4 linked regions of the Diceros bicornis minor genome follow. The protein of the gene in region 2 interacts with the protein of the main gene of each other region in a pairwise test. Links are inferred from orthologs where the notes say so. Each region holds a gene or a part of one and is shown on either strand. Other genes may lie near its edges.

Region 1 (7,125 bases), on a different chromosome or scaffold from region 2:
GGTGGGGGTGTGGGAGGGAACATCCATCCTTACAGAAGAATGGCAACTAAAATATGTAGCAAAACTTAAGTAGAAAAGTCATTACATTTGCAACCCCACTGTAAGAACGAATTTAGACAAAGTTGCTAAAAACATTGGATGAAAGCTTGTTGGAAAGAGGATACTTATTTATACCATCTCAAAATATCAGCCCACAGATGAGTACTAATTACAAAGCGGGCAACATCCTTTACAATGGAGCACTATGATTGGCAACACTTTGACCACACTGAGCATCACTAGGAGTGGAACAACCCGCCATTACAGGCCCCCTGATGTATGCAATGAGAGGTATACAGCATCAGCTTTGTGGTATTTTGCCATAAAGAGTGTAACCTGAAGCTAATCAGAAGACAGACTACTCCAGAATGCAAGGCATTCCACGAGACAACTGGCTTGAGCTTTTTAAAATAATCAATCTTGGTTTGGGAAAGTTCAAATATGGCTCGTATATCATACCATCGAATTACTGTTCCTTTACTTGGGTGCAAGTTTGGTATTGTGGTCCTTATTCTTGGGAGATGCAAGCTAAAGTACTTAGGGATGAGGGGTCATGATATCTGCAACTGACATGCAAAGGGTTCAGAAAAATTTGTACACATATATCTATCTATATGTAGAGAGAGACAGTAAGGCAAAATGTTACAATTGGCAATCTAGGTAAAGGGTTCATGGATGTTGAATGTACTGTTTTTTCAAATTTCTGTACTTTGGGACATTTTCAAAATAAAAACATGGGAAAATAATTTAATATAATAACAACTTAGATCTCCTCCTATTCAGAATTTAAATTTGAAAAGAAAAGGAGGGAAACTGAAGTGATCTTAAGGAAATGTAACAGATCTCAGGCTTGAAGGAAAAAGATTTTGTGTCTATCACATATATTGAGTATAAGTCTAATCAATACCAGTCCTAGATAATTACAATAATTTACTTTTATTAAGCAAGTAAACTTTATTATTTCAGCACCTGAAATTAAAAGAAAAATAGGTAAAAAAAAAAAATTTAAGTTCTAACTCACCTAGAACAATACCTAATTATTCAGATAATTAAATGATCTAATGTTCGTAAAGAGCCTTCCAGGGAATCTGGCACAGAGGCTATGACTGACTGACTTACAGAGCTATGCCCATAGATTGGACACTGCCTGCACACAGCTGATACTCAAAAATATCTGTTGCCTGACTCACTCAACCCCTCATCCTCCCTCAAACCAAGCTCACACATTCTGCAGAGGTGATCACTAACAGTTCTGGATGTAGCATTTTCTCTACACCTACAATCAAATATATGCAAGGATACATATAAGTACAATGTATCTATACATGTATCACACATGTAACTATACATGGAATCCTGCTATAGTTTTGCAACTTGCTTTTTTTCCCCCTTTTATCCCTGATGCTTTATCTTGCCTCTAGTGGACCAGTTTTGAACGAACGAAGAAGAGGTGCTAACACAGGTTGCAGGTAAACACACTGCTCCTTCCATTCTAAATAGTCCAAGTACTGCTACTAAAATAATTACTCGGCAACTCTAATGGTAAATAAAACCTCTATGGCTATGTTTCTAAAGGCCTGAGGTTCCTGGTTACTCGAGGCCATGGTCTATGGACTTCAAGAACTGTCTAGGATAATTTAATAAGCATATTCTGGGTAATCTGGATGGCAACCATTATAAGCCAGTATGCCTGTGTGATTTCAGTGCTTCCATCTGCATTTACAACTACTATATAATTTTATAACTAAGTTAGCAGTACTAACTTCATTATATTTAAACAGGTAGGTTTGATATAAATGTTAGATTCTCCCATGTGAAGGCCAGATGATACCATGGCCAGTACAGATGAAGGTTCCACAGTATTTTAACAGAAAAAATAGGTAGTAAATAACCACAGGGCAACAGTAGTAGTGGCATTCCAAACTCCAGTCAGTATCATATTCATGCTGTGAGCATGTTTCCCATCGTCCCTAACATTACATTAATGTAGATTTGAATTTTACTGGATGTGTAACTTTACTTGGTTTTGTAACTTGTAAATATATTGTTTCATAGACAAATAACAGTTTCATAACTAGTTTTATGCTTATATATATTTAAATAACATTAATAATTTGAGTCAACAAAGGGTTTCTTATATTATTCAAGTTCGAGAAAAACTTGCAAAATGTCTGAAACTCGTGACTCCCGCTGGTTATACAAAGAAAAATATTCACCAAATACTTACTATGTGCAAGGGCTGTGCTAGCTGCTGTAATTCATGATGCCTGCACCTGTAATATTAGATACTTTATAAATACTTACACACCATCAGCGGGTGATGATTTACCATGACTGTTTCCCCTTCTTTAGTATGTTAACATTGTTTCTGATGTGGGTCTAACATAATTTCACTTGGGAGGCAGTAGCCACAATTCTTTATCTGATACAGTACTTGGCTTCTTTCTGACACTGGGGCCTCGAGTTACGAAGGGAGTGGGGAGAGCAATTTCATACACAGAAAACAGAATGAGTTCGTTACCTGAGTCTCTCAATCGAGCGAGTTCCTGCCGACGTTTCTTTCGTTTCTCCTTCTTCAGGGCGGCCCTGTACTTTTTGTGGCTGGAAAAACGAGACAGGCACACTCGAGCGTCAGTGGTCGCACCTGCAGCGGTGCCTCAGCTCCCCTCTCCTCCGCACCCACTGACAGGAAATCGCCCGGGTACTCAGGAGTAAAATCTCGCTTCCCGTGTTTTAATTACAGACCATGCATTTACCACCGCCTCGCCCTTCCACGCCCAGACAGACCGCAGGTCTTCACCATCCCGCCACCTGTTTCCCTGCTCGCCTCCCTGAGCCCACGGACGCCCGTGACAGTCTGGGGCGCACTCCTGGAAGGGCTCGAGCTGCTGCGGTAGCTCGCTTGCTTGGCCCAGCTCCTCTTTCCTTCCTGCCTGCACATCCTCCATGCCCAGCCTCGGCCCGCTCCGTCCCCTCTTCCCGCCAGCTCATCTCCCCCAACCCAGCTTACCTCGGTTTCCCCGGAAACATCATCTCCTCGGGCGCAGCCATCTTGCCAGCGCCGCCACGCCCCCCAGGAGCCAAACGGAAGAGGCGGGCTTAAGAGAGCGCGCGGTGGCGCGCACGCGCAGGTGCCGCGCGGCCTCTCGCCGGCGGGGAGCGTGCTTCTCTCCGGGCGGACCAAAGACGGAAGACGGGAGGTTCCTGTAGGTGGCTTGTCTTCCAAAACCCTGCACAAATAAATGTCTCCTTCCCGAAAACTCCTCTGGGGCTCCTGCCGCGCCCTGGAAGTGATTCTACCGTCCTAGCGTTTCCCCAGTGCTTTATCACTACCTCTCCCCACACCATAGGCGTCTTGTGGACAGGAGGTTCAAGTCACACTTCTCACTCTTTTCCCTTCATCCGCTCTCGAAGCCTCGTCCCACATACAGCCGCAACCCTGGGTTCCCAGTCGGACTTATCCAGGTTCCGCCTCCTTCCATTCACACCTGCCGGCTCTGTAGGCGAACCTAACTCCTAGGGTTGCAAAGGTGCAACCTCTGCTCCCAAGGAATTTACAATCTAGAGGCCGAGAAGGACCATTACATAGATTAGATAATATGGTACAGGCAACTACGTTTACTTAACATAGTCCACCTGGGGATTCAGGAAGAGCTTTCTGATGTCTGAGTTTGAGTTTTGAAGACAGATGGCGTTTACCCAGGTGGAGAAGGGTGGGAATTGAATTGCAGGTAAATCTGCATAAGCAAAGGCACTGAGAGGTGAAACTGGAATCTGCCAGAACCGCAAGAATTTGGCCATCGAATTTAAAAGGCAATTCGAAAGTATCAAGGAATATAGAGGTAGAGGTGGGCTGGGAATAGGGGGGCCTAGTATGTCATGCTAAGAAGCTTTAATTACGTTCTGTAGGCAACAGGGAACCATTGAAAGTTTTTACATTGAGGCTTGTTCTGGTTATATTTGTGGTTTAGGTAAATTATTCTGGTTTGCAATATAAAGGATAAAGCTGGAATATCACAATCTAGGTGAGAGGTGACAAGGAATTAAACTGAGGCATTGAGAGTAGGTACTGAGAAGGTAAAATCAGCCCTGCTAATAATTAGACTGCGATGTACATGCACAAGGCCAGGGACAGACCAAGAAAAAATGTTTCTCCCATGGACAAGTTGCATCTGCAAAATGATTAACCCCGGTCTTTTGAGTGACTGGATAACTTCCCTAGCCTAGCTTTGTTCCTCTCTCCTCCAAATCAAAATTACTGAGACACCCAATTACTAAACTGCCCCTGCTTCCCCTAGTCCCTCCTTGGAATCATTCAGCAGAAGCCCAAACACTGCATAAAGCCTTACCCTACTGCCTCTTATAAAGACACTTGCAGTAACACACCTCCAAGTTGACCTCGTCCCGCTCAGTGCATCAGTAATTAGGAACATAGACTTTGGAGGTGGATGGACTAGAAACTCAAGCCTTGACTCTCTGATCTTGAGTAAATTCCTCAATGTCTAATCCTCAGATTTCTCATCTGTAAAAATCAAGATAATAATAATAGTTATTATCTTGTGTGCCTGGCAATAGTTAGTGTCCCCAAAACATTAGCTGTTAGAACATCATCATCATCATAGGTGTGAAAACTTCCTGACCCCCTGAAGTGTGGATTAGGTACCTGTCCTGCATGTGCTCCAGCACAAGTATCTCACCTTTTATAACACCTATCATACTATATTGTACTTTGTTGTCTACACAAATCTGCTTCTTGCACTAAATCTTAAAACTCCTTGAAGGTGGAGACTTGACACTTATAGCCCCTAACTAGAGAAAGCCTCAAGTAGCACAAAATGTAGCTGTGCAAATCACCAATTTTGCTAGTTCCTGTGACCAGGACTTATGCTGAGAATTACTGCTATTCTGAAAGCGTCAGTGTCTGGGTTGCTGTAACATTTCTTATGAATTAGACCAGACCTTCATATCAGAACAGTAAGTAAGAACATCTTCTGGGAAGATACTCCTAATTAAAAAAGGATACAGACTTAGATTTTATTATCATTTAGAAATGAATGTAAATCTCCTTTTATAGGAGTTAGGCATTTATCTTCAACAGTTAACCACTGAATTCAGTTTCATGAACAAGCTTGAGTTGCTCAAGTTAATTTCATTACAGAAGTTACTCTAAAAGCCAATTCCATTTCCAAACTAGAGTTACCATCATTTGAATTTGATAAATCACAAGATAAAAATAAGGTATGTAAAAATTTAATGCAAAGATACATTCTACTATGATATTCTGATAAATAGAACAAAGTTATCTTTATTCTGCAACATAACATATATTTTCTATTTTTCTTGGTGCTTGAAATACAACATCTACTTATTCTTAGGTATGTGTATTTCAGTTCATCCCCCCTCTATGGGAAAATGACTAAATTTTTTTTACATTGTCAGTAGAAAATAGCTGATTATCTTTAAAAAGTTAAAGAAAATATTTTACTTATATAAATGATGTAACAGATACTATCACTAAAGATGTCTAAATTGTTATAAAATGATCAAAGAATAATCCATAAATGTATTTTTCATTTATTGCAAGCATAAAGGGAGACCAAGAAAAAAAAATCTACTCTCTGAATGCCAGGTTGGGACTCTTTCAATTAATTTGTTTTTTTCTTGCTCAAGTGGGACAATGGTACTAGGATTCATTAAATAGTCGACGCAGAAATTCTCAGGAAAGAACATTTCATTTCTTGCCTACCATTAATTTCAGTATTAGTCACTAGATTTATTCAAGGACATAAAGTGAGGTCTCAAGTCCTTTCCAACCCTCATTGCTATGCCAAGGGCTTTATATATTTTCCAGATTATAACTTAAAATAGAAAGATAAAATACTTATGAATGCATATTAATGTGAAAAATGCATGCAAATCTATATTTGTACAACTGATTAAAAGTTTTCTTTGGAGGAAAGAACTATCCAGTGATAGTTCTTATTACTTGATTCTTTTGTCTAGTGATAAGCTCAAAGCAACACAACTGCTGGTGGTTTGAGAAGAAATGGTGGCAGAGTCCATATCCCCACCCAGAACCCAAACCAAAGTACCAATTTTAAAGAGTGGTTGAATTCAAAAAGCAGGAAACAAAATATACATAGGGACAAGTGTCATAGTCCTGCCATTACAATATACCATAGACTGGGTGGCTTATAAACAACAGCAATTTATTTCTCACAGTTCTAGAGGCTGAGAAGTCCAAGATCAAGATGCCGGCAGATTCGATGTCTGGTGAGTACCTCCTTACTGGTTCCTAGAAGGCTGTCTTCTCTCTGTGACCTCGTATGGGAGAAGGGGTGAGAGAGCTCTCCAGGGTCTCTTTTAAAGAGCACTAACCCCATCATGAGGGCTCCACCCTCATGACCTAATCACCTCCCAAAAGGCCCCACCTCCTAATACCATCACATTGGGGGTTAGGTTTCAACGTATGAATTGTGGAGGGACCAAACATTCAGTTCCTAATAACATGAATGCATTACTATTTACATGTTAAGTAGCCAGTATTGTTTATATGTACTAATTATATGGTAAAATTAGAGCTTATTTGCTTAAATGAACTATATCCATTTTTGATCAATAAAATTTTACATGAAAGAACTTAACCAACAAAGTTGGATTAAAAAGACAATAAAACATTAAGCAGAATAAACATCAAGTAAATGATGTTGATTCTTCTAGTGATGCAGAAAAATACCTAAAGTAATTACAATACTGTATTTTTGCTAATATCATGCCAAAAGAATTGTCCCCTAGTGAGCAAGGAAAAGACATCTTCCTAAACGTTTTTTGAGGCAGATGCCTGGTTTTAGAATAGCCACCTTTACCCTGACCCATGTAGCCCTGGCAAAGGAGAAAGGGGCTGGCAGCTTGCCCTATCGGTGATGTTAGCAGATCGATTGTGCACTGGTTTGACAGAAGGGAGAGCTAAGGAGGAGCGGGTGGTTCTTTCCATTCCTGTTTCTCTAATAAATCCCTTAGGAGTTTTTTAGTCACTTTCTGATCTACATGTTAAAGGATGTCTCATTAATTTTACAGACATCTTAC
Region 2 (6,981 bases):
GCCCAAGGTCACATGGCCTAAAAGTAGGGATTTGAGTCCAGGCAGGCTGGATTCCACAGCCCATGCGATAAGCTGTGCCCCCTTCAGGATATCATCACTTTCGGGTATCCTGAGGACATTAGAGGTGAGGGTCTCCAGCCGGCGTCCATGCTTCCAGTCAAAGGCTGAGGCACTGGGTGGGAATATGTGACGGACAAGTGTGAGGGAGTGGGGGACATCAGCCAGTGATGGGTCTCTGACTCACTAGGGCCCCCAGCTGCCACCTGGGAAATCTATGACTCAGCTGTGGGGATGGGAGACTCCTGGAGTTCAGGTGGCTTCGTTCCGTTCTCAGCACAGGCCTGGCCTTACCACTGGGCTGTGTGGCCTTGGGCAAGGTGCGTCACTCTCTGAATTGTGCTGTGAAGGACAGCTGAGACGGGGTTATGCCCCGTGCCCAGCAGGAGCTCCCCCTGTTGTAATCACTCGGTAGTGTGGAGGCAGCTGTGGTGACGTACCCTGGGTTTTGCCACAGCCAGATTCCACGCAGAGGGTAGGAGTGCACAGCTGGTGCAGCTCCCCACCCAGCAACCATCCCCGCTTCTTCCAGGAAGGGCATCTCCATTTTCACTTGAACAGATGACTTGTGCTTCTGTAACTTGTAGCTGGGCTGATTCCAAGAGGAAGTCAGAAACTTACATCTATTGAGTGCCAGTAGTGTCCCAGGCACTGTACATGATGAAATCATTTAATCGTCAGGACAAGCCTGTAAAGCAGGCTTGTAGATGTGGAAACTGTAGCTCAGACTGATAGCCCAGCCCAGCCCATCTTTTGACCAGGAGTGAGCCTTTCAGTTTATAACTAAGAGTGACTTTTCTTGGAGGGGCATTTATTCATTCAATAAATATTTAATGAGAGCCGACCGTGTGCTAGGCATGGTGCTAGACCTTAGGGATAAGATCCCCACCGACAAGCCCCCACCCTCATGGCGTGCCCACTCCAGATGGCACAGAGGTTTCTCACAGGTCAAATCCAGGTGGCAGCAGCTGCCTGTCACATTATGAGGATTCTGAGCCAGCTCTGGGCTTGGCAGGGTGCTGTCAGGGAGTTTCTGCGTGTATGCTGCATGTTGGATACCCGTGTTTTAGACTTTTGAAGACTACTCATACAAATGCATATAACAAAGCAGAAATACATCCTGGTCAGAGCACAAGTTCCAATTTTTATTTTGAAAATAGCCACTGTAGATCTAATTAGTAGGCCCTGCCCTCAAGGAACTTAGGGTCTAATTGGTAGCCTAAGGTCCACAGGAACAGGACAGCCTGACCCAGAGCTCAGAGCTGGGGCAGGCCACACAGATGCGGATGATCAGGGAGGCTTCCTGGAAGAGGAGCTCAGTGGACTTGGCTAGGTGGAGTGGGGGCAGGGGGAAGGCATTTCAGGAGAAAGCAGCAGCACAGGCAAAGGTACGGAAGTGTGAAGTGGGTGTGAGGTGGAGGTGGGAGAAGAGAGGATTCTGGCCTGGCTGGGGTAAGGTGTTGGGGGAATGAAGGTGAAAAGGTAATAACAGGGGTGGACCACGGAGGCCTCAGTGTCAGGCCTGACCCTGCCCCTCCCCCTCCACCCCCTTTCACTTGGGAACCACGGAAGACTCCGAGCAAGGGCATACCCAATGAGATATTTCTTGGTGCCTGGAATAAGGGGAGAAGTTAGAAATGGGAGGTGGCTATAACACCATGGAATGAAAAAGGGCCCCTGCACGCAGGTGGGGGTTAGGGGACCTGGCTTCCAGTCCCTCGTCTATGCTGACGTGCTGTGTGGCCACAGGCAAGGCCCTTACCCTTCTGGGCTGGTCTCCTTCTCGGTCTTCTCTTAACGGCCCTTTCAGACCATGACTGAGTGAACTCAGGTGTGTGTGTGGGGGGTCACTTGGCTCAGTTAGGGTCTCCATTTTCTACTTTTCTTTGGCCTTGAAGACCTGGACTAAGGCGAGTCCACCTATGGTTTACCTCAAGCTTCAGGCTCCTGTGGCTCAGCCCTAGGCTGTGTCCACGCCTGAGCTTCCAGAAGCATTTGTCTCACAGAAGAGAAAACATGACCTTGGAGCCACTTTCTGGCTGTGTACTTTGAGATGGACTTGGCCTCTCTACTTACCTCACAGGCATGATACACACCATGGAGATAGTGCCTTTAAAGCTGCCGGGCACACAGGCAGCACCTCTGCGCTCAGCGGGCAGTAAGTGCTCAACTGGTGGCGACTGCCTTTCTTGCTGTTGCTCCTATCGGGGCTCCTGTGTGGGACTCTCGGCTGTAAACTTCTCAGAGGCTGGCAGTGTCTCCTCCATGGGGCTGAACACCAGCTGGGCCCCCAGGCAGGATCTGACACCCAAGGCTAGTGCACCTCTGCCCAGCTAGTCACGAGGACTGTGACGTGAGTCTGCCTGGCCTGGTGAGCAGCCCCACCCTGGGTGGGGGCCCTGCGTCATTCCTCATGGGACTGCCCAGCACATGGGTCCCAGGCCCTCCCCAGGCACCATGTGTGACAGGCACCTCTGTCCAACCAAACCCACCAGGACCTAAACTAAATTCCTCCCCCTTTTCTGTTTAATTTTATATGGTTCTTTTTGGGATAGGTAATACATTCAAATATTTCAAACTTTAAAAGGCACCAAAAAGTGTGCTATAAAAATAAACCCCCTCCCAACTCAGCACACAGCCCCCTTAGTTCCCCTTTCTGGAGACAACCAATCTAAATTCCTTTTTTTTTTTTTTTTTTTTAAAGATTTTATTTATTCATTTTTTTCCCCCCAAAGCCCCAGTAGATAGTTGTATGCCATAGGTTCACATCCTTCTAGTTGTTGTACGTGGGACTCGGCCTCGGGTTGGACAGAGAAGTAGTGCCTTGGGGCGTGCCCGGGATCCGAACCCGGGCCGACAGCATCAGAGCGCGCGCACTTAACCGCCAAGCCACGGAGCCGGCCCTAAATTCCTTTTTTTTTATGGTGAGGAAGATTGTCCCTGAGCTAACATCTGTGCCAATCTTCCTCCATTTTGCACATGGGACACTGCCACAGCATGGCTTGATGAAGCCGTGTGTATGTCCACGCCTAGGATCCAAACCCTGCGAACCCCAGGCTGCTGAAGCGGGGTGCACGAACTCAACCACTACGCCACAGGGCCAGCCCCCTAAATTCCTCTTTAAAACAATTAAACTTAATTTGCTGCTCCTCCCTTAAAAAAATCGTAAGTATTCAAAGCAAAAACTAACTTCAAAACAAAACAAAACAAAATCCCACCACCTTGGAATCTACACAAAAGTACAAACCAAAAATCACACCCACAATCCCACCACCATCCAGATTTTCTGCACTTTAGTATATTTCCTTCCAGACTGTTTTCAGTACTCATCCACTTTTCAAAAACGAAAACCAAACCCAAAATCAGAACCGCAATTCTGATTTTTCAATATCTTGCAGTATCTCAGGAACATTTCCTCATGGTGTGTTTCCTTAAGCGACTTTAACAGCTTGGTGAACTTCCATAGAAACTGGCTTATTGGGCCAGACCCTAGTGATGGGCATTTGGGATTTCCAGATTCCCCTATTATAAGCCACACAGCGATGGGCCCTCATTGCCTACTTGTTTATTTTCTTGTAACAAGTTCCTAGAAGCAGCAATACTGGGTCACAAGGTTTGGCCATTTTTTAAGACCCTGGATACCCATCAAACTCCCCTCACATTCAGCAGGACCAGGTGTCCAATCCAAATCCACTTTCCTCAAGGCCAAGTCTTGTTCACACCCCTCCCAGCAGCAGCTGTGTGTGCCCCCAACCCACCTCCACTTCTAGAGTAAGGCCAAAGTCCTCCTCCAGGCCTGGCCACCTGCCTTGTTTACCTGGCCCATCCCAGTCCCAGGTGAGTCAGCTGAGCAGGGTAGGCGCCACCCTTCCCAGAGCAGGAACTCAGCTGGGACAAGGGCCACCACTTTCCAGGGAGAGGAACAGACACTCTGGGCAGTGGCGGGAGAAGGACGTGCAGCAGCAGCTGGCCTGCAGGTAAGAGCTGGGCTGGGCCCGTCGTGGCTGGGACAGGGAGAAGCGAGACTTGCTCTTACCTGCCTCATTCCCACCCTGGCCCGCCCCTTCTGGGACTTCCAGGCAGTTTCTTCTCAAGGTGCTTCACTCTGGGAGGGAAGTATGACTGGGGTCTCCTCTTCTGACTCCAGCCCTGGGCCAGGAGTGAGGGCTGAGTGACCTTTATCCAAACATCACGAGGGCCCCGGCTCCTTCTGACTGCGTATGACAGTGCTCAAGGAGGTCGGACCCCCACTTTGCTCCTTGAAGTAGGCCTTGGAAGGCCAGGCAAAGAGCCAATCCTCAGCTTCTGTTACTCACTTCTTTGCCTGAAGCCATTTCTACCAACAACGTCCTACCATGGCAGGGAAAATCTGCTGGGGAACTGGGCCGGTGGCCTGACCTCTCTGAGAACTGGTTTCCTCATTTGGAGACTGGAAATATCCCCACGCAATCAGAACTGAATGAGATAATGACCTAAGACATCAATATGTGCCCTCCACACAGCAGTTTCAGAATATGGTGCTTAAAATGAGGCTGCTGTGTGCCAGGCCGGCACCACACTGGCTGCTTCCCACCCAGTGGCCCAAACTAGTAACAATTCTAACACCACCATGGCTTCTCACCTAGGCTCCCTGCGTCCACCCTTGCCCCTCTAGTCTGCTCTCCAAACATCAGCAGAGGGGGCCTGTTAAAATGGAAGTTGGACCACGCCACCCTGCTGCTCAAAATTCTCCAGTGGCTCACATCTCACTAGAGTAAATGCCAAGTCCTCACCATGCCCCAAAGCCCCTACAGGATCGGGCCCTCACACCACTTCTCCCACCTCCTCTCCGGCTACTCCCCTCTGAACACTGACTTAGTCTCACTGGTCACAACAGGCACTCCCACCACAGGGCGGCCACAGCGGCTAAGCCCCAGCCTGAATGCTCTTCCCTACCACTTTACTCAAAAGTCACTCTCCACCCACCTTCCCCGCCAACAGTGAGACTCTTCTGGACCTCCTGACAGTCTCTATCCCCCATCCTGCTCTATCTTTCTCCCCATCACTTCCCACCATCTAACACAGCATACCCACTTATTTATCTACCTAGAAAGTGACACTCCGCAAGGACAGATTTTTCTTTTGTTCACTGCCTTATTACTGGTACCTAGAACAGTACTGGGACTTGGACACTCAGTACATGTACTGAATAAATGAACAATAGCTAACGATTACTGCATGCCCTTTACGTGCTAGGTACTGTGCTGGGTGCTTTCCAAACACATCTGACCTCTTTTTAAGAATCTTTTAATCTCCACAGTAACTCTGTGATGCAAGTATTGTTACCCATATCACAAAGGAAGAAATGACACTCAAAAGGGACTTGTCCATGCTTGCTCTCCCGTCAGAGGCAGCAGTCTGAACGCGGTACTGCCTGCCTCCAACATCCTTGCTCCTGCCCTGGCCCTCCTGGGCCTGGACTGGGAGCCTCTGCATTCCTTGAAGTCCACAGCTCTTCTCCAGCAGGCAGTACAGCCCTGGGGGGAGGGGGTACATGCTGGTGGCCTAGCAGCAGCCTCTTCCTTCCCACCCCTCCATACCCCGGGGCTAATGTGGCCTTCTAGGAGCTACTCCTCTGACACTCTAACCCATGCCTCCCTCCTGCACAGTCTCCTGAAGGATGGATGAGGTGTCCACAGCAACAAGTGGGAGTCCCAGAGTTTCAGCTCTCTGGAACAAAGTGTTCTGAAGGAGTGTTCTTATTCCAAAGATGGGGGCTGCCAGCCCCTGCTGATCTCTGAGGACCCGACTGCTGCTTTGTTGTGGGTGTTGGTTGTTATTGCTTATAATACCAAAGAGTACAGAAGCTCAGGGATGGAAATTCTGCAAAGCACAGCGGGAGAGGAAAATGCCTCTGGGATAGATGGGTTAGATGGCTTCTTTTCCTTTCAGAGGAGCCAATTAATTGCCAGAAGCCAACAGCACTGAAATTGAGCAAACTCTTCCACTGTCAGATTGTAGGAGCCAACCTTTCAATCTACCTCATTGGGGCAGTGGTTTTTCTCTTTCTAGGCCCAGGGTTTTCCTTTAAAGGACTTTTTTGGGCTTTCCTCTGCCCTCTGTGTCTGCTTTTGCACTCCTTTAAGAAACAGGGGCCGGCCTCGTGGCTTAGCGGTTAAGTGCGTGTGCTCCATACTGGCGGCCCGGGTTTGGATCCGGGGCGCACACCGACGCACCGCTTGTCCGGCCATGCTGAGGCGGCGTCCCACATACAGCAACTAGAAGGATGTGCAACTATGACATACAACTGTCTACTGGGGCTTTGGGGAGAAAAAGAGGAAAAAAAGGAGGACTGGCAATAGATGTTAGCTCAGGGCTGATCTTCCTCACCAAAAAAAAAAGAAACAATAACGCCTGCTGTATGCCAGGCACTGGGTGCAGCACTGGGGATTCAGAAATGAGCCACATTCCTGACCAGAGAGGGAGACAGGCAAGAAATACAACACAGTGGAAATCCAACCCAGGAAATGCAGGGGGCCTTGATCACAGGAGGTGCTTAATAAACATTAGTGGAATGAAGGATCAACAGGTGAATATGAGATTCTGTGGTCTAGAAATGGGAGGCTTGCCTAACTGTGTGTGTGTGGATGTGGGGATTTGGGGGAAAGCTTAGAATTGAAGGAAGAGCAGTTCACCAGATGAACAAGGGGGAAGGAGAGGGCATTCAAGACAGAGGCATCTGCAAAAGCACGTAGGCGTGAACTAGCAGGGTGAGTTCTGGGATCAGCAGTGTGGAATGTATTAAATGCAGCGTGAGTGTGGAAGAGTGAGGAGGTGAGATTGGAGATGGTACCAGGAGTCGGAGATTTGAATGCCAAGTTGAAGTTTGAGATTTATCCTGAGGGCAAGAGCTGGGTATGGCTTCAAGAGCAGGGTAACTCCCAG
Region 3 (7,269 bases), on a different chromosome or scaffold from region 2:
AATGCCATGATGAATCCATATGAGCATTATACCTAAAAATAAAAGAGCATAACATAATACTTGTCCTTTTTGATGATTATCTCAAAATGTTTCTGATGGAGCCCCATTTTCCTTTAATACACTGTCTGGATCGATCACTCAAGAAATTGTCTTGATATTTTCCATATCTATATTTTCTAATGGCACTCGCATTGTACTTTTACAGCGCTGTCATACCTATTATCTCAATTTTTGCTGGGTTTAAACAGTTTATCTATGTCTGGCCATCTAGCTTAATGGCACAATTTAATATTATTATACTTTGAAGCATTATTTTGAATTGAAAGAAAGTTAACATAACTATAACACTGGTCTAAGTTTAAGGGAATTTCAATAAGGACAAAAAAATCACTTTTGTCCTTTTTCTTAAGCAGCACATTTTCATTAGCAGACAAGTTTTATGAGGGCACAGACCATGACATTGTGTCCCCGAAAGTGCCTATACCATGTAGGTGCTCAAAATGCTTAAGTCATGAAACCAACAGTGACAGCAGGTCAACTTCGGACGCAGCTGTGTGAGGCAAAGATCACCAGGGCTGATCTGGCAATCTACTGTGCAGACTGGCCTTTCCCTGCTGGCCGTTTCCATGTTGATATTCTCCAGGCTTCAGCCACAGACCTTCCCTTCACCCTCTACACACTCTACCTGAGCAAAGGCATCCACTCCCATGGACTTAACTCCTATTATATGTGTGGATGACACCAAATTGTTCTTTGACTCGGGCTTCTTTCCTAAGCTACAAATTTTATCCCTTATTGTCTATTAGATATTTCCATTAGTATGTCTGACTATACCTCAACACAAGGCGCAAACTGAAATCATCATCATGCCGAAACCTGCTCTTTCTCAGGTGTTGCCTATGTTAGTAAATAGCCCCACCTAATTGCCTAACAATGAAACCCAGGTAATACCTCATTCCTCTAGTACTCACCTACATTGACTACATCACCACCGATTCCTAGTGATTCTACCACCAAAAATATATCTCCAGTCTATCTGCTTCTTTCTTCCTAAGACTGTACCTGAGGTATCATTGTAACTTACCAGAATTACTCCTAACTGGTGACTGTGCATCCAAACTAGCTCCCCTCCAACCTACTGTGCAGCCAGAATGATCTTTCCAAAATGTGAATCTGTTTAAAAACCTTAAATGACTTCCCCTGGTCCTTAGGAAAATGACCAAACTCTTTGTTATGGCTTACAAGGTCCATTAAGAGCTGGAAACTACCATGTAAATGACACTATAACAGGGCAAAATGGATAAGCACGTGGGGTCTAGAGGAGCCAGACTGATCTGTTACTTACTAGCTGTATCAATAGGCAAGTTACTTGATTTCTCTGAGGCTCAGTATCCTCACTGTAAGATGGAAATATTAATATCTATCTCACAGTGTGGGTGTGCATATTAAACTAGATGAAATACAATGCATGACACAGTATCTGACAGATCTGACACATAGTAAATGTTTAGTAAATATTAGCTACTGTTATCATCTCTCTAGTTAATGTCTCACTTCTCTCCCATTTGTACTCTGAGTTCCATGCATAGGAACATCTTCATTTCCTCTTCTCACACATTTCTTCTTCCTTTATGTATCTAGTCCCTCTGGCTGCAACTTCCCCTCCTACCACTCCACCCCTCCTGCATTCTTCAAGTCTCATCCTAAATGCCACATCCTTTGGAAAGTCCTTCTGTGCACTCCCTGTCTCCTGTTAGATGCTCTTACTATGTGCTCCTGAAAGCTTTGTATTTTCCCTACCATACACTTGTCTGACTTTCTAGTACTTTCTCCTTACAGCCAAATTGTAAATTCTCTGTGAAGAGCAAGTGTCTTGCTCACCACTGTATTCCCAATGCCTAGCACACAGTAGGCACTTAACACAGATTGTTATGTGTATGAATGAGTGTGTCTTTCCTCTCTCACAATTCCCCCCCACCCCCGTGCTCCTCCCCAAACTGCAGTTGGTAGAAAAGCACAACCCTCCCATAACAGCTATCTGTAAAATACGGTTCAGAAAAGGCTGCCACAGAACAAACATGCTCAAATAATACCGGGAAGGGCAGGTTAAAACAAGATTGGGGGGGCAGTAAATGAGGGGGGTGTATATTTCTCAAACTATCTCCTGCAACCAGTGTTCTGCAGAACACATCGCGGCAAAGCTGGTTTAAGGAGATGCCCTCCCCTTCTAGAACTTCCAAGTAAGCCGGTTGCTGTGGACGGGAAATCTCTCAGGCACTTATTTCGCAGGGTTCACTGTTTTTAAGTCAGTACCGACTGGACCCAGAATCTGAGAGCTGGAAGGAACCAGAGACATAAATCAACAAATCTCCGTTTACAGATGCAGACACTGAGGCCAAGAAGGGCAAAGCGACCGGCCCACGGCCACACAGCAACTGAATGCAACAAGCAGAGAGAGAAGAACCCCAGGCGCCCATCTCGTCCCTGCGACTTGCACTACAAACAATGCCTCTGGCCGCTGGGGTCGGTCTTTCTCAGCCACCGGCCCCTGGGCCTACGGTTACCGTCCCCCTCTCCTCCCCATGCCACCCTCCCTCCGCCACGACGCACCGGCCCCGTAAGCCATCCAGCGCAACTGGAGCTTGGCTGGCGCAGGGGAGATCGTTTCTTTCTTTCCTTCCGCGTTTATTTCCGGAGTGTAAACTTTTTCACGTAAACCACACGAACCTGTTAATTTTAACGCCTCCGCTTAAATCCCCATGGGCGCCACTCCCTGGTCCAGCGCGCCCCAACCTACCCTGCCCTCTCCCTTCCTCGCCCAGACCCCGGGGCCTGCCGTTGCTCGTCACCTGGGACTGCCATGGCGCTGTGAAAGGGGTCGCAGGAGCCCTAGGATTTCGAGAGCGCGCTCGCTTCCCGCCGGCCGTGAGGACAACGCACAGCTAGGGCGGCCTCTTCCTCCCACCCGCGCCGCGGCTCCTAGATGACAGTTCGGGGGGGGGCCCCTATAATTCTCTGGCGATAGCGGAACCAAGTAACCACTGATCCAGCTTCCGGGGGACGCATATTGCAGCTCACTCACGGTCCGAACCATTACTGCCAGCTTCGGGAGGTGAATGAGACCTGCACACGCATGTAGTGAAGTAAACAACACCAAGACTTAACGGATCGTTCTTTTTAAAATTGTAATAGAAATTAAATTAATCTACAGCGGCTTAATAATCTTTTCTCCTTTCTTGGAGGCTATCAGAATCCCCCTTCTCAGGGTTAGCGGTGCTCGGGTCCGGGAACAACATGGCGGCGCCCGTGAGGAGCTAGCTTAGGGAAAAGATAGCGTTTGGCGTCGCTGTCTTGCAGGATATTGACAGACTGGAGCTTTCCGCGACCACCCGACTTAAGGAAGCCTGTACTAATAGGTGGACAGCTTTAGTGATCGGCCGTCCGCTCTCATCCCCAATTGAGAGCAGAGTCTTGAGGACTGACCAGCATGAGCAACATCTACATCCAGGAGCCTCCCACCAACGGGAAGGTGAGAGCCTCGTCTGGGATACCTGGGCTCCCCAAAGTGATACCTCACTGACGAAGGGAGTCCTGGGATCTTAGGGTTGTGAGAGATCACAAGAAGTCTTGTTTTTACCCCTGCCTCTGAACAGGATTGCCTGGAAACCATCTATTGGCACTTCTCAGCATATACTTGAAAAAGTCCTCAAGGGAAGATTGATTTCTCCATCTACCAGCCTTCTGGCCCTATTTCTTGCTTTAACCTAACTCATGCAGGTGTTTTCTAGAGTCTTAGGTAAAAACCTAAGTACAAATTAAAATTTGACATTTTTCGCATAACTTAGAGATGGCTCTTTCTCCGTTTATTGAACGCCAGCTAGGCACCGGGCACTTATTAGGTTCTGGGGATACAAATATAGATGGATAAGGTCTAGTTGTTGCCCTAGAAGAGCTTATGGTTTAGTTGGGAGGCAGGCAGGTAAAGAAAAGCCTTAGGATATGTCTGGTAGGTGTGCTTATGGAGAGAGGAGCACATTGCTGTGCTATTACGGAGAAGTGAGCAGCTGGGAAAGTAGGGAAAACTTCATGGAGGAGGTATCTTTTGAGCTGGTCTTAAAACATGAGATGATTGTTAGAGAAAATGGGGAATGGGAAATGTTCCCACATTAGAATGATTTCCTGATTGATTTGACAGTCAAGCTATGTCAATTCCCATCCCAGGTGTTTTATATGCAGTATGAGGCAGAGAACTAAGTAGTGGAAGGAATATCACCTGAATTCTTTTTTTTTTTTTTTTTGTGAGGAAGATCAGCCCTGAGCTAACATCCATGCCAATCCTCTGCTTTTTGCTGAGGAAGACTGGCCCTGAGCTAACATCCGTGCCCATCTTCCTCCACTTTATGTGGGATGCCTTCGCAGCATGGCCTGACAAGCGGCGCGCGCCCGGATCCAAACTCCGGCTGCCAGCAGCAGAGCTCACGCACTTAACTGCTAAGCCATGGGGCCGGCCCTGGCCTTTTCTATCTACTTTCTATGAAATAGCAAACCTCATTCATCTCCTGCATCCCAGCATTCCCTGGCTCCCTAAACCCTTTTAGTTTTTTTCTGCAGTACTTATTATTGATTGTTTATTGTCTCCTCCACCTGCCCCCATAAAATGCAAGTACTGTGAGGGCAGAGACCAGCATCTAGAAGGGTGCTTGATACATAGTAGAAGGAGTTCAGATATGTACTGGATGAATGGATGAATGGATGAATTAATACTATGTTTCTCTTAACTTTTGAGAAGTATTAAACATCAGTGACTTTGGGGTTATACTGCTGCTGGTCAAGGGCAGACTTAGTTGCTTTACTCTGGAGGAAGATTTGAGGTGGTCATAAAGATAAAAAGCTTTAACAAAGATACATGCCTGAACAGGAGATCTTTCATTCAACAAGTATTTATTGAGCGCCTAGCTCATGTGGATCTATGCTAGGTTTTAGGGATACAATGGAAAGAAAAACCAGCATTGTCTCTATTATCATGGAGTCAGTTGAGTGAAGTATACATTGACCGAATAATCATGCAAATAAGTCTGTGCAAACTGTGATCAATACAGTCTTTCTTCTAAACAGAATTGGGCTGAAGGAGAACATAGGCCAAATTTTCCTTCAAGCACAGTTTGGGACTTTTTTCCAGCTGAGGGGTGATTGAAGACATTGAAGCTTCAAAGTTCTGTACTATAGAGAGTATGGCAAGAATTTTGGCCTGGAATGAATTTAATACAGATATAATAAGCTTGCTCAATGAATGTTAGTTTAGTACCTGTGGTGTCTAATGCTACGTTAGGTACTGAAAGGATACAGAGATATTCAGAATAAATGGGACAAAATTCCTCCCTTCAAAGAGTATAGTGTCAACTTGGGAAGTAATTGACGTATTATACCAGTGGTTGACCCCTGGCAATTGTCCATAAATGTGCTGTGTTTTGCTGTAATGCTATAACTCTGGCCTCTGAAGATGAGGCACAGAAATATACCACTTGATAGAAATTTCCTTATCCACTGGAGATGAAATCTCCACATATTATGATCATTTAATCTAAATTATATATTAACATGTGTTTATTCTTAAGAAGCATTTTATTATCAAAGTATTGTCTTATTTGGGAGCTCTAAGAAAAGGAGCCACCGACGCCTGACAAAGTAGTGATGGTGAAAGGAGGGAGCTGTGTGCCTTCTTTTTTAATTCAGTAGCTTCTTGGTGGAAAGATTAAGAAACCCTGGTAAACAAGGTGGCCCAACCATGTATGCATTCTTTTTACTGGATGTAAGTTTGCTGTGGCCAAAAACATTGTATGAGAATAATAATTACAACAATACTAGCTACCATTTTTTGAGCATTTCCTATTTGTCAGGTACTGTTCTAAGTGGTCTACATATATATAATAACTCATTTTGGCCTTGCAACAAACCTATGAGAATATGCTTATGCCTGTTTTTAGATAAGGAAGTTGAGTCACAGAAATGTTAGATATCACACCCAAGGTAACGAAGCTAATCTTACCTTCGTAAGTGGAATGGTCAGTATTTGATTTTGGGCAGCCTGACTCCAGAATCTGAAGAGGGAGGGCTGATGTGCAGTAGATTGTTCTTTAGGACAGTGGTTTCTAAATGAGTGAGTGCACACTTAAGAGGGCTGCAAAACCATCCATGGAGTGCAGGCAGAAAATCTACTTACTTCTGTTTGTATTTATTTTCTCCTTTATTTGTTTAAGTGCAATATTTTATACGTAAAAAGGAACATATAAATTCAGTTACTTCTGTTTGTATTTATTTTCTCCTTTATTTGTTTAAATGCAATATTTTATACGTAAAAAGGAACATATAAATTCAGTTACTCGTTCAATCACTTTTTATATATCATGAAGTATTTTTTCCTAATTCTTTGCTAAGTGGATTTACATTTCTTGGTATCTAGATTAACTAAACCAGCCCTCACAAGTTTCGTATTGAAGATAATAATGTAAATAAAAGCAAACCATAAGAAAATGGTAGAGCTAATGCCTCAGCATGAGAAGTCTGTCAAAAATTAGAAATTGTTATGTAAATCTTTTGAAATATGGATTTCTATTTATTATTGTTAATGGTGAACATTGTCTTAAATGTATATTGTGCTTTAACATATTTATCAGTAAGAATATAAAGCCATTGTGATTTTCAAGACATTTAGAAACTAAGTGTATAGAACAGGAAGATGGACCACTACAATTTGAAAGCAACATTATGCTAAGTGAAAGAAGCCAGCCACAAAAGGCTACACGTTGTATGATTTCATTTTTATGAAATGTTCAGTGGGCAAATCCATAGAGACAGAAAGTAGATTAGTGGTTGCCAGGGAATAAGAGTAGGAGGAAATAGGGAGTGGCTGCCAATAGGTACAGGGTTTCTTTTTGGGATGATGAAATGTTCTGGAATTAGATGGTGGTGGTGGTTACATAACTCTCTGGATTATATTAAAAACCACTTTAAAAGGGTAAATTGTTTGGTATGTGAATTATATCTCAATAAAGCTGTTATAAAAAAAGTTCATTGTACTGTTAGTAAAGAAAATAGAATTATTTTAAAATAGTGTTTTTATGTAATCCTTTAAAATTTTTATTTTGTGTGATCTTTTATAATATAATATTAAAGTAATATAGTACCACGTGTATTTAAATATACATATTTTGGGAATGTGTGCTCTAAGTCCTTACCTCCCTTCTCTTCTTTGTTAATAGGGATTCACAC
Region 4 (7,055 bases), on a different chromosome or scaffold from region 2:
TCTGAAATTATACTCCCTTGGAACACTACTGGTTCCACCAGCTAGACCAATTCTCCAGACACTAAAACAAAAATAAAACAGTATTTTCACTTTTCATAAAGTTAAAAAAATTTCGTTAATGGATATAATTTTTTAAATCTTAAGTTTTTTTTCTGTAATTTTAAAAACGTTGACACTCACTACTACTTGTCTGCTCTGAGTATATAAGCGGATGGCAAAATGATGGCACTTATGGAAAACCTAGGAAGCTGCAACTGACTTGAAAGTCACATAGCAATGATTTTATACTACATTTACTCATTCCACAGGTACTAAGTACCTATTACGCACCAGGTGCTGGGGTAAAATGAGGTAAACAAATAGACATAGCTCCTATCCTCAGGGAGCCTGGTCTAGCAAACAGTGAAGTTTGGTGAGTATTATTAAGGAGCACCTTCACACAGGAGAAGGTACATATGTAGTTATTTTTCTGCTGATAAAACTGTTTCTAGTTTGTTTGATGAAATTAAGCATATCAGTAATTCAAGGATGTTCTGCAAAGATCCCTAAGCCTTCCAGATACTCGGCCGACCAGTAAATTTAAGGATTACAGAACTAGAACATCTAAATCAAAACACTGAAGACAGATATCATCCACCTTGAGGTACAGAGTTATAAGCAGAGCCAAAGGACTCAATTCATCTCACAATGTGGCAAACGATGCCAGAAGGCAAAAAGTCAGATGTTTCTGTTATCTTCTCTCTTGCTTTTCCTAATGACTCCCCAAACTGATTTTTTCTACCTATTCCTCAAAAACGGGTATTCCCGACTAGTAGCTGAGAATTTGGTAGCAGATCCTAATGATGTATAGGTAGATTATCCAAGCGAGTTGTCACTTTAGGATCCCTTCCTTCCTTCCTATATGCTAAGATTCTGAAAGTGGATCAGGAGGAGAGCCTCATACCTTTGGGAAAAAGTTCTCTATTACTCCCATTAACCTGTTAAACATGGATCTCTTATCTTGCAAAATCAGCTCAAGATTTGCCTCCATGAGGAAGATAGTCTCAAACTACAGCAACTCACCTTCTAACTAGTAACGTAATTCCTTCTGTATTTACCACATGGACCCCCAAGTTCTACACCCAAGATTATTCAGCATTTTCTTGATCCTATTTTAGCATGTTAGCTGTAGTTTGTCATGTGACCAACTCAGACTGATACCTTCTGTGGCACTGAAGGTTTTAAAAATAATCACTATCGGGAAGAGAGCGATCACTCCAGATTCAAAAACTATGCCTTACATATTAGTCGGTCAAATCCTGCAGATGCTAAGGTGGATCCATTGGGGTGAAACTTGCAGCAGTACACTTCCCCTTCATGTCCTGAGAGAAGCATGATTGGGGCTTGAAGGGAGGAACATCTTGGAGGGCCCTACACAAAAGAGAGAGGTACAGGGTAGTCACTGCATACAGACCAAGGAGGCTGCACAATTGTGGAGGCGGGGGTGGGTGGAGGAAAAAGACAAGGGAAACAATGAGTGAACGAATTTCTTCTGATTTAGAGAATGACAGCTCTTCTCACATAACTTACACCTCCAATTTGATACTCTCCTGCTGAGGTTTCCAGGGTCTACCTGTTATACTAACACTCCTCCTTCCTCACTCTGCTCCTGTCCCATAGCCAACTTTTAATTGCTCAAACATGTTAAGCTCATTTCTGCCTCAGGATCTTTACACTTTTGTTGCCCCTGACAGGAATCCTCTTCCCCTAGATCTTCCTGTGTTTGGCTCCTTTCAAATGTTTCCTCTTCAGAAAGTCTTTCCTGGATCATTCAAACTCAAGCAGTGCCCCACTGCCCCTCTAGTCCATGAACCCTACTGTATTCCCTCACAGCACTTATTACTACCTGAAATTACCCTCCTTATGTATTTGTTTACATATTTTGTCTTTATTCCCTACTAGAAAAGAAGCTCTGTGAGTGCAGGGCCCCTGCCTGGGTCATTCAACACTGTTTTCCCAGTCTCTAGTTCAATTAAAGAATGAATGATTGAACTGAGCTTCCCAACAACCCTGCAAGGTACAGATTATTGGGGAAAGTAGTTTTGATTATGGTCTCAACATAAGCCTACTCTTGGGCAATTCACCGAAACCTGGGCTGATATTCTTACTTGTCAGTGGAAGAATAAGTACACTATCAATAATCCCCAAATCTCTTCAGTAATTTCCAGCTTACTCATTTATTAAGAAAAATACTACGTGCCAAGCACTGTTCTAGGCACTGGGAAAACAGCAGTGAACAAAATAAACAATGGAGTTTGTGTTCTAGTGGGAAGGAGGGAGGGACAGAGAGAACAACTAGAACCTACAGATGGTGGTACAACAGAAAAAGCAGCAATGTGGGTTAGTGAGTACTAGGTATTGCAATTTAAAATACGCTGGTAAGGACAGTCCTCACTGAAAGAGGGATATGTGAGCAAAAATTTGGAGATGTGTGTAAACCATGCACACATTTGGAAGAAGAGTATTCAAGTAGAGGGAGCAGCAAATGCAAAGGCTGTGAGGCAGGAGCACGGAAGCCAGTGTCACTGGAGCAGGGTGAGCAATGGAAAATTGGTAGATCAGAGACGTAAAGGCAAAGCCGGCAAAAGACTGTAAGGATTCTAGTTGTACTCGGAGTGAAGTGGAAAGCCACTGAAAGTTTTCAGCAGAGAGTAACATGATCTGCCAGTTTAGAAGAACTCCTCTGGCTGCTGGATTGAGAATAGACTGATTACATAATAGCAGAAACAGGAATACCAGTTAGGACTCTACAGCAATAATCAGATAACAACATAATAGTATATAATAATAATAATGAGATAATAATAGCTTAGACCACAAGTTAGTGATGGAGGCCACAGCAATTCTGTATATATTTTGAGGACAACACCAAACAGGATTTGCCGACCGGCTGGTTGAGGAGTTGAGAGAGGGGGGACACACATGTATTTCTTCATCCGAGCCTAACAGCACGGAAGGAAAGATGTGATCATTATCTCTAACCTACAAGAAATGCAGTTAAGCGCATGGATTCTGGGCTTAAAATCTGTTTCTATCACTTACTAGATAAGAGTTTGTTTTCCCAGCTACAAAATGGGATAATAATGGTTCCTAACTCTTAAGCTGTTACCAAGGTTAAAGGAGTTTTCACATATAAAGCACTTGGTACAAGGGCTCAATGAAGGTTAGCTATTATTCAGTTGTTAATACTAGTGCACAGAAATAAAGGGAAAAGCAACTTGCCCAAAGTCCCAAAGCGATCCAGTATCACTCATTTCCTTCTTTCCTTCCTTCCTCCATCCATTCTACAAACTTTTCTGAATGTTTACGCCGGATCCTGGAAGATTTAGGATGCTAACGCCGGTTTTGAGCTCAAGATCCTTAACTCTAATTCTAACGCCACCTCACAGGGCGGTCGAGACGCCGAAAACCGGCGTCAAACGGGGAAACGTGAGGAGCATCTGCAGGGTGTCGGCCGCTTTTACAACGTTTTCGGCTTTAACTCCAGATACCGAGTCTCCTTCCGCCCCCACAGCGCGGAGAAAGGGCCGCCGCGAGATCACCCGGCGCAACGCTCCGAGGAGAGAGAAGGATGAGCCGAGGGCGGAAGGCCGCCTGCCACTTCACTCACCGCTTGCAACAAAGCTCCGGGCGCCGCCTGCTGCTGCCCCGCTCCGGGGCCCGACCCCGCGGCTCCCAACAGCAACTCATGCCGCTGCCGCTTGACCGGGACCAGCGGCAACTCTGGACCCTTGCGCTTCTGCTGTTCTATCATGGCGGCAACCGCTCTCCTTAGCGCAGCCACTGACCGCGCCGACACCCTCAGGCACCGCGCGATTGGCTCCGACTTAGTCCTTCCCCTAGAACTTCCGGCTTGGAGGAACCAATCGACTTCCAATATTCCCCTCTGCACCGCCCCCTGGATAGTCTCCTGTTATTGGTTAGCTGTCTCTGATGTCACGAGAGTACGATTCCAGGATTGGTGGATGGAACTGCAGTCCCGCCTAGGCGCGCTGTGTCTTGTGGGTGGAACCGCGCTGACTGGGTTGCGGCGTTTCGCGCAATGCTGCGGCCGGGGGACCTGCAGCTGACGGAGAGTAAGTAGGAGGAATGTCGGGGTGGGTGGCTGCGGAATCTGGAGGCGGCGCCTCGGTGATATGGTCTGAGCCTGCCCATTCTCAGCTGAAGTTTTGATTGCGAGGGGCGGAGGCGGGCCCCAAGGTCCTGGCTCTGGGGGGTAGTAGCCTGGTTTCCTTTCTGTGCTGGAGCAGAGCCTTGGGGGTCGCTGCGGCTGCCTGGGCACCTCGACGCCGGACTCCTTCAGCAGGCGGCTACTGTGTCCAGTCCGGTGCCGGAGGCCCCCGGGGAGAAACGGCCTGGATCCTCTCTGAGTGAGGAGGCCGACTTGTTTCTGCCACTGATTCTGCAGCCTCTCCTAGGGCCTGCTCTGTGTCCCTGAGAGAGACAGGGACGGAGGAAAAGTCCGACTCTTGCTTCTCCAGAGCAGTCTTGTTGAGAAATTTGGACTTATACCTGTGAAATAGATCTTCTCCTTAATCGTCCAATTGATATTTATTTGGCAAAGCATTGAGGATATGTGATCCCTGACTTCAGCGGTTCGAGTCTGGTGGGGAAAACAGATGTTAAACAATGATCTCCCTGAGAAATGTGAAATAAGTGCCGTCTAGGAGAGGTGCCTGAGGTTATGAGGGCCTGAAATAAGCAGAAAGGCTTGTCTGAGGAGAAGATGCCTGAACTGATGCCTGAAGAAAGAATTCTAATTAGTTGGGTGAAGAGAGGAAGGCAGAATATTCCATATAGAACAGCATGTGCAGAGGCCCTGTGGCAAATGGGAGGAAAATGCCTCAAAGGCACAAAGAGGCCAGTGTGGCCAGTGCAAAGAGAATGAAGGGAAGTATGGTCCAAGATGAAGCTGGAGGCCGGTAGAGGGCAGACCTTGCAGGACTTTGTAGCTTTTATTTGAAGACTGATGGGAAACCACTGAGGGTAGTTTTTTGAGGGGGAGGGAGTGTGTGGAGGAGGTAACTTAATCCCTCAGGCTCAGTAGTGTGAACAGATCTGAAGAGAGATAGATGCAGATAGACCCTTTAAGTGAGCGTTGTTGGCGGTGTAGACTGAAGTATTGGTGAAACTGCAGAGAATTGGACAGATTCTAGAGATATATGGGAGGTAGGGTCAGTAGGACTTGGCGATGGCTTGGATTCAGGGAGTGAAAAGAGAGGAATCACAGATAACTCTTAGGTTTTTGGCTTATGCAACAGAGTATTTATTTCATTGGTAGAGAAGGGAGAGGTCATTCATGACTTCAGGAGGCAATTTGAAATATGGCTTTGCAACTCAGAAGAGAGATTTTTGTTGGAGATATATATTTGGGAGTAATTTGCATATAGGTGATAATTGAGCGATAGGTGTGGGTAAGATCCCCTAAGTCAGAAGCTTGAGTAGTTCCAGCATTTAATGTCCAAGAACAGGAGGATGAACCTACAGGAGAAGAAGAGAAAAAAGAGCTAGAGAGGAGCACCAGAGGAATGTTGTCTCAGAAACAAGGAAATGGCCAGTGTCAGAAACTGGAATTTAAAAAACACGAGAATTGAAGAATGTGTGTTGGCTGTATCATCGTGGAGCTCATGGTATCCTTAGCGAGAGTTATTTTGTTGGTGTGATGGGGCCAGAAGCCAAAGATTCAGGCAAGGGATCGGAGGCAGTGAATCTAAAGAGTGTTTTTCATACATATGATTGTAAATGAGAGGAGAGGATGTGGAAGCCGAAGGAGATGAGGGGTCACCAGGAATCCACTTGAGAGGGCGATGGAGAAATTGAATACACAAGAGACAAATTCGGTCATTGATAGTGTTCTGAGAACATGGGAATGGATGGGATGCAAAGTACAGTTAGAGGGAGCAGCCTTGGGAAGATGGACAGTCCTCCATTTAACAGAAAGGAAGAAGGAAGTGAAGGCAGTAGATATAGGTTGTTCTTATGTTTGGTTTTGGTAAAATGAGTTCCTTTCTCATGGTTTTTATTTTCTCTGTAAAGTAGGAGATAGGATCATATACTTAGAGTGAGAGGAAGTCAGAGATTTGAGAAGGTTGCAGAAGATTTGAAAATCATTGTAGAGTGTGTGGGAGAATGGGTTTACCAGAGAGATGTAGAATTGTCGTGCAGAGTTATGGGCCCATATGAAGTTGGGGATCATATTTTATTTCCAGCAACATCAGGCTCAATGCAGACATGGAGAAAACATATGCAGATATGGCAAGGACCGTGGGTTTGGCTTGCTCAACACACATTCCCACCTTTAATGTGCCTTCTCTTACAGAAAAGTCTGGGGTGCTAAAAACTATTTCCTGGCTCCTTTGCACCTAAGATGAGAATTGAATTTGGAACTGAGTTAAATGTGGAGAGAAGGAGTGTGAGAGGCATCCAGTTTTGCTGGCAAATATTATGGTAGAGGCAGTGAGTTTCTTTAGTCAGCAGCTTTCTGGTTTAGTGACTTTCTGCAATGATAGCCATAACTTTCTTGATTGTGACAAAGACTGTGTTATTTTTTGGGTTAGGAGTTGTTCCTGGAAGTTCTACCAGAACTTCCTATAGCCCTTCCAGTAGTTTTGTAAGCCGATACCTGGCAATAAATCCTTTTCTGCTTAACCTAGCTAGAATGGGTCCTGGTGTCTGCAGCTGGTGGGGGTACTGCCAGATAGGTGAGCCGTAATGACAGAGAGTTAGGGGGAACTCAGGGTGTTGTTTGAATGATAGACTGTGGAATCTAAGCTGGAAAGAGAGAAAAGTTGAGGTAAAAGGAGAGGGCTGATGGATTAGAAGAAAATAGAAGTCAATAGATCAGGGTTCTAATGAGGTCAAAGAACAGTATTCTCTGCCAGAGGACTTCCATTTATCCTTAAAGGCCCACTCAGTTGTTACCTTTTAAACTTCCCTGCTTCCCCTAGGCCCTTCTTTTCCTCTTGTTTTCTTAGTACTTTGAACCTAGCTGCTGTTTTAGCACTGATCATACTGCA

Evidence for each region.
Region 1: the proteins of SDCBP2 (region 2) and ZRSR2 interact in binary tests that used the Homo sapiens proteins (3 or more experiments, as listed by UniProt). The two-hybrid records come from large-scale screens. The link is inferred for Diceros bicornis minor from reciprocal best matches to the Homo sapiens genes SDCBP2 and ZRSR2.
Region 3: the proteins of SDCBP2 (region 2) and SREK1IP1 interact in binary tests that used the Homo sapiens proteins (3 or more experiments, as listed by UniProt). The two-hybrid records come from large-scale screens. The link is inferred for Diceros bicornis minor from reciprocal best matches to the Homo sapiens genes SDCBP2 and SREK1IP1.
Region 4: the proteins of SDCBP2 (region 2) and ZCCHC17 interact in binary tests that used the Homo sapiens proteins (3 or more experiments, as listed by UniProt). The two-hybrid records come from large-scale screens. The link is inferred for Diceros bicornis minor from reciprocal best matches to the Homo sapiens genes SDCBP2 and ZCCHC17.

What each region holds. Positions count from the first base shown.
Region 1 is NC_080781.1:12,970,310-12,977,434, reverse strand, and holds the start of ZRSR2 (U2 small nuclear ribonucleoprotein auxiliary factor 35 kDa subunit-related protein 2), read right to left. Parts: upstream 3,003-7,125; 5' UTR 2,988-3,002; coding exon 2,785-2,987; intron 2,641-2,784; coding exon 2,561-2,640; intron 1-2,560. UniProt on the Homo sapiens protein: Pre-mRNA-binding protein required for splicing of both U2- and U12-type introns. Selectively interacts with the 3'-splice site of U2- and U12-type pre-mRNAs and promotes different steps in U2 and U12 intron splicing.
Region 2 is NC_080758.1:29,372,500-29,379,480, reverse strand, and holds the start of SDCBP2 (syntenin-2), read left to right. Parts: upstream 1-3,976; 5' UTR 3,977-4,034; intron 4,035-6,981.
Region 3 is NC_080759.1:12,124,472-12,131,740, reverse strand, and holds the start of SREK1IP1 (protein SREK1IP1), read right to left. Parts: upstream 3,010-7,269; 5' UTR 2,863-3,009; coding exon 2,850-2,862; intron 1-2,849. Other genes in the region: spliceosome-associated protein CWC27 homolog, read left to right, coding at 3,488-3,529. UniProt on the Homo sapiens protein: Possible splicing regulator involved in the control of cellular survival.
Region 4 is NC_080752.1:46,266,071-46,273,125, forward strand, and holds the start of ZCCHC17 (zinc finger CCHC domain-containing protein 17), read left to right. Parts: upstream 1-4,046; 5' UTR 4,047-4,115; intron 4,116-7,055. Other genes in the region: SNRNP40 (U5 small nuclear ribonucleoprotein 40 kDa protein), read right to left, coding at 1,281-1,410, 3,650-3,793.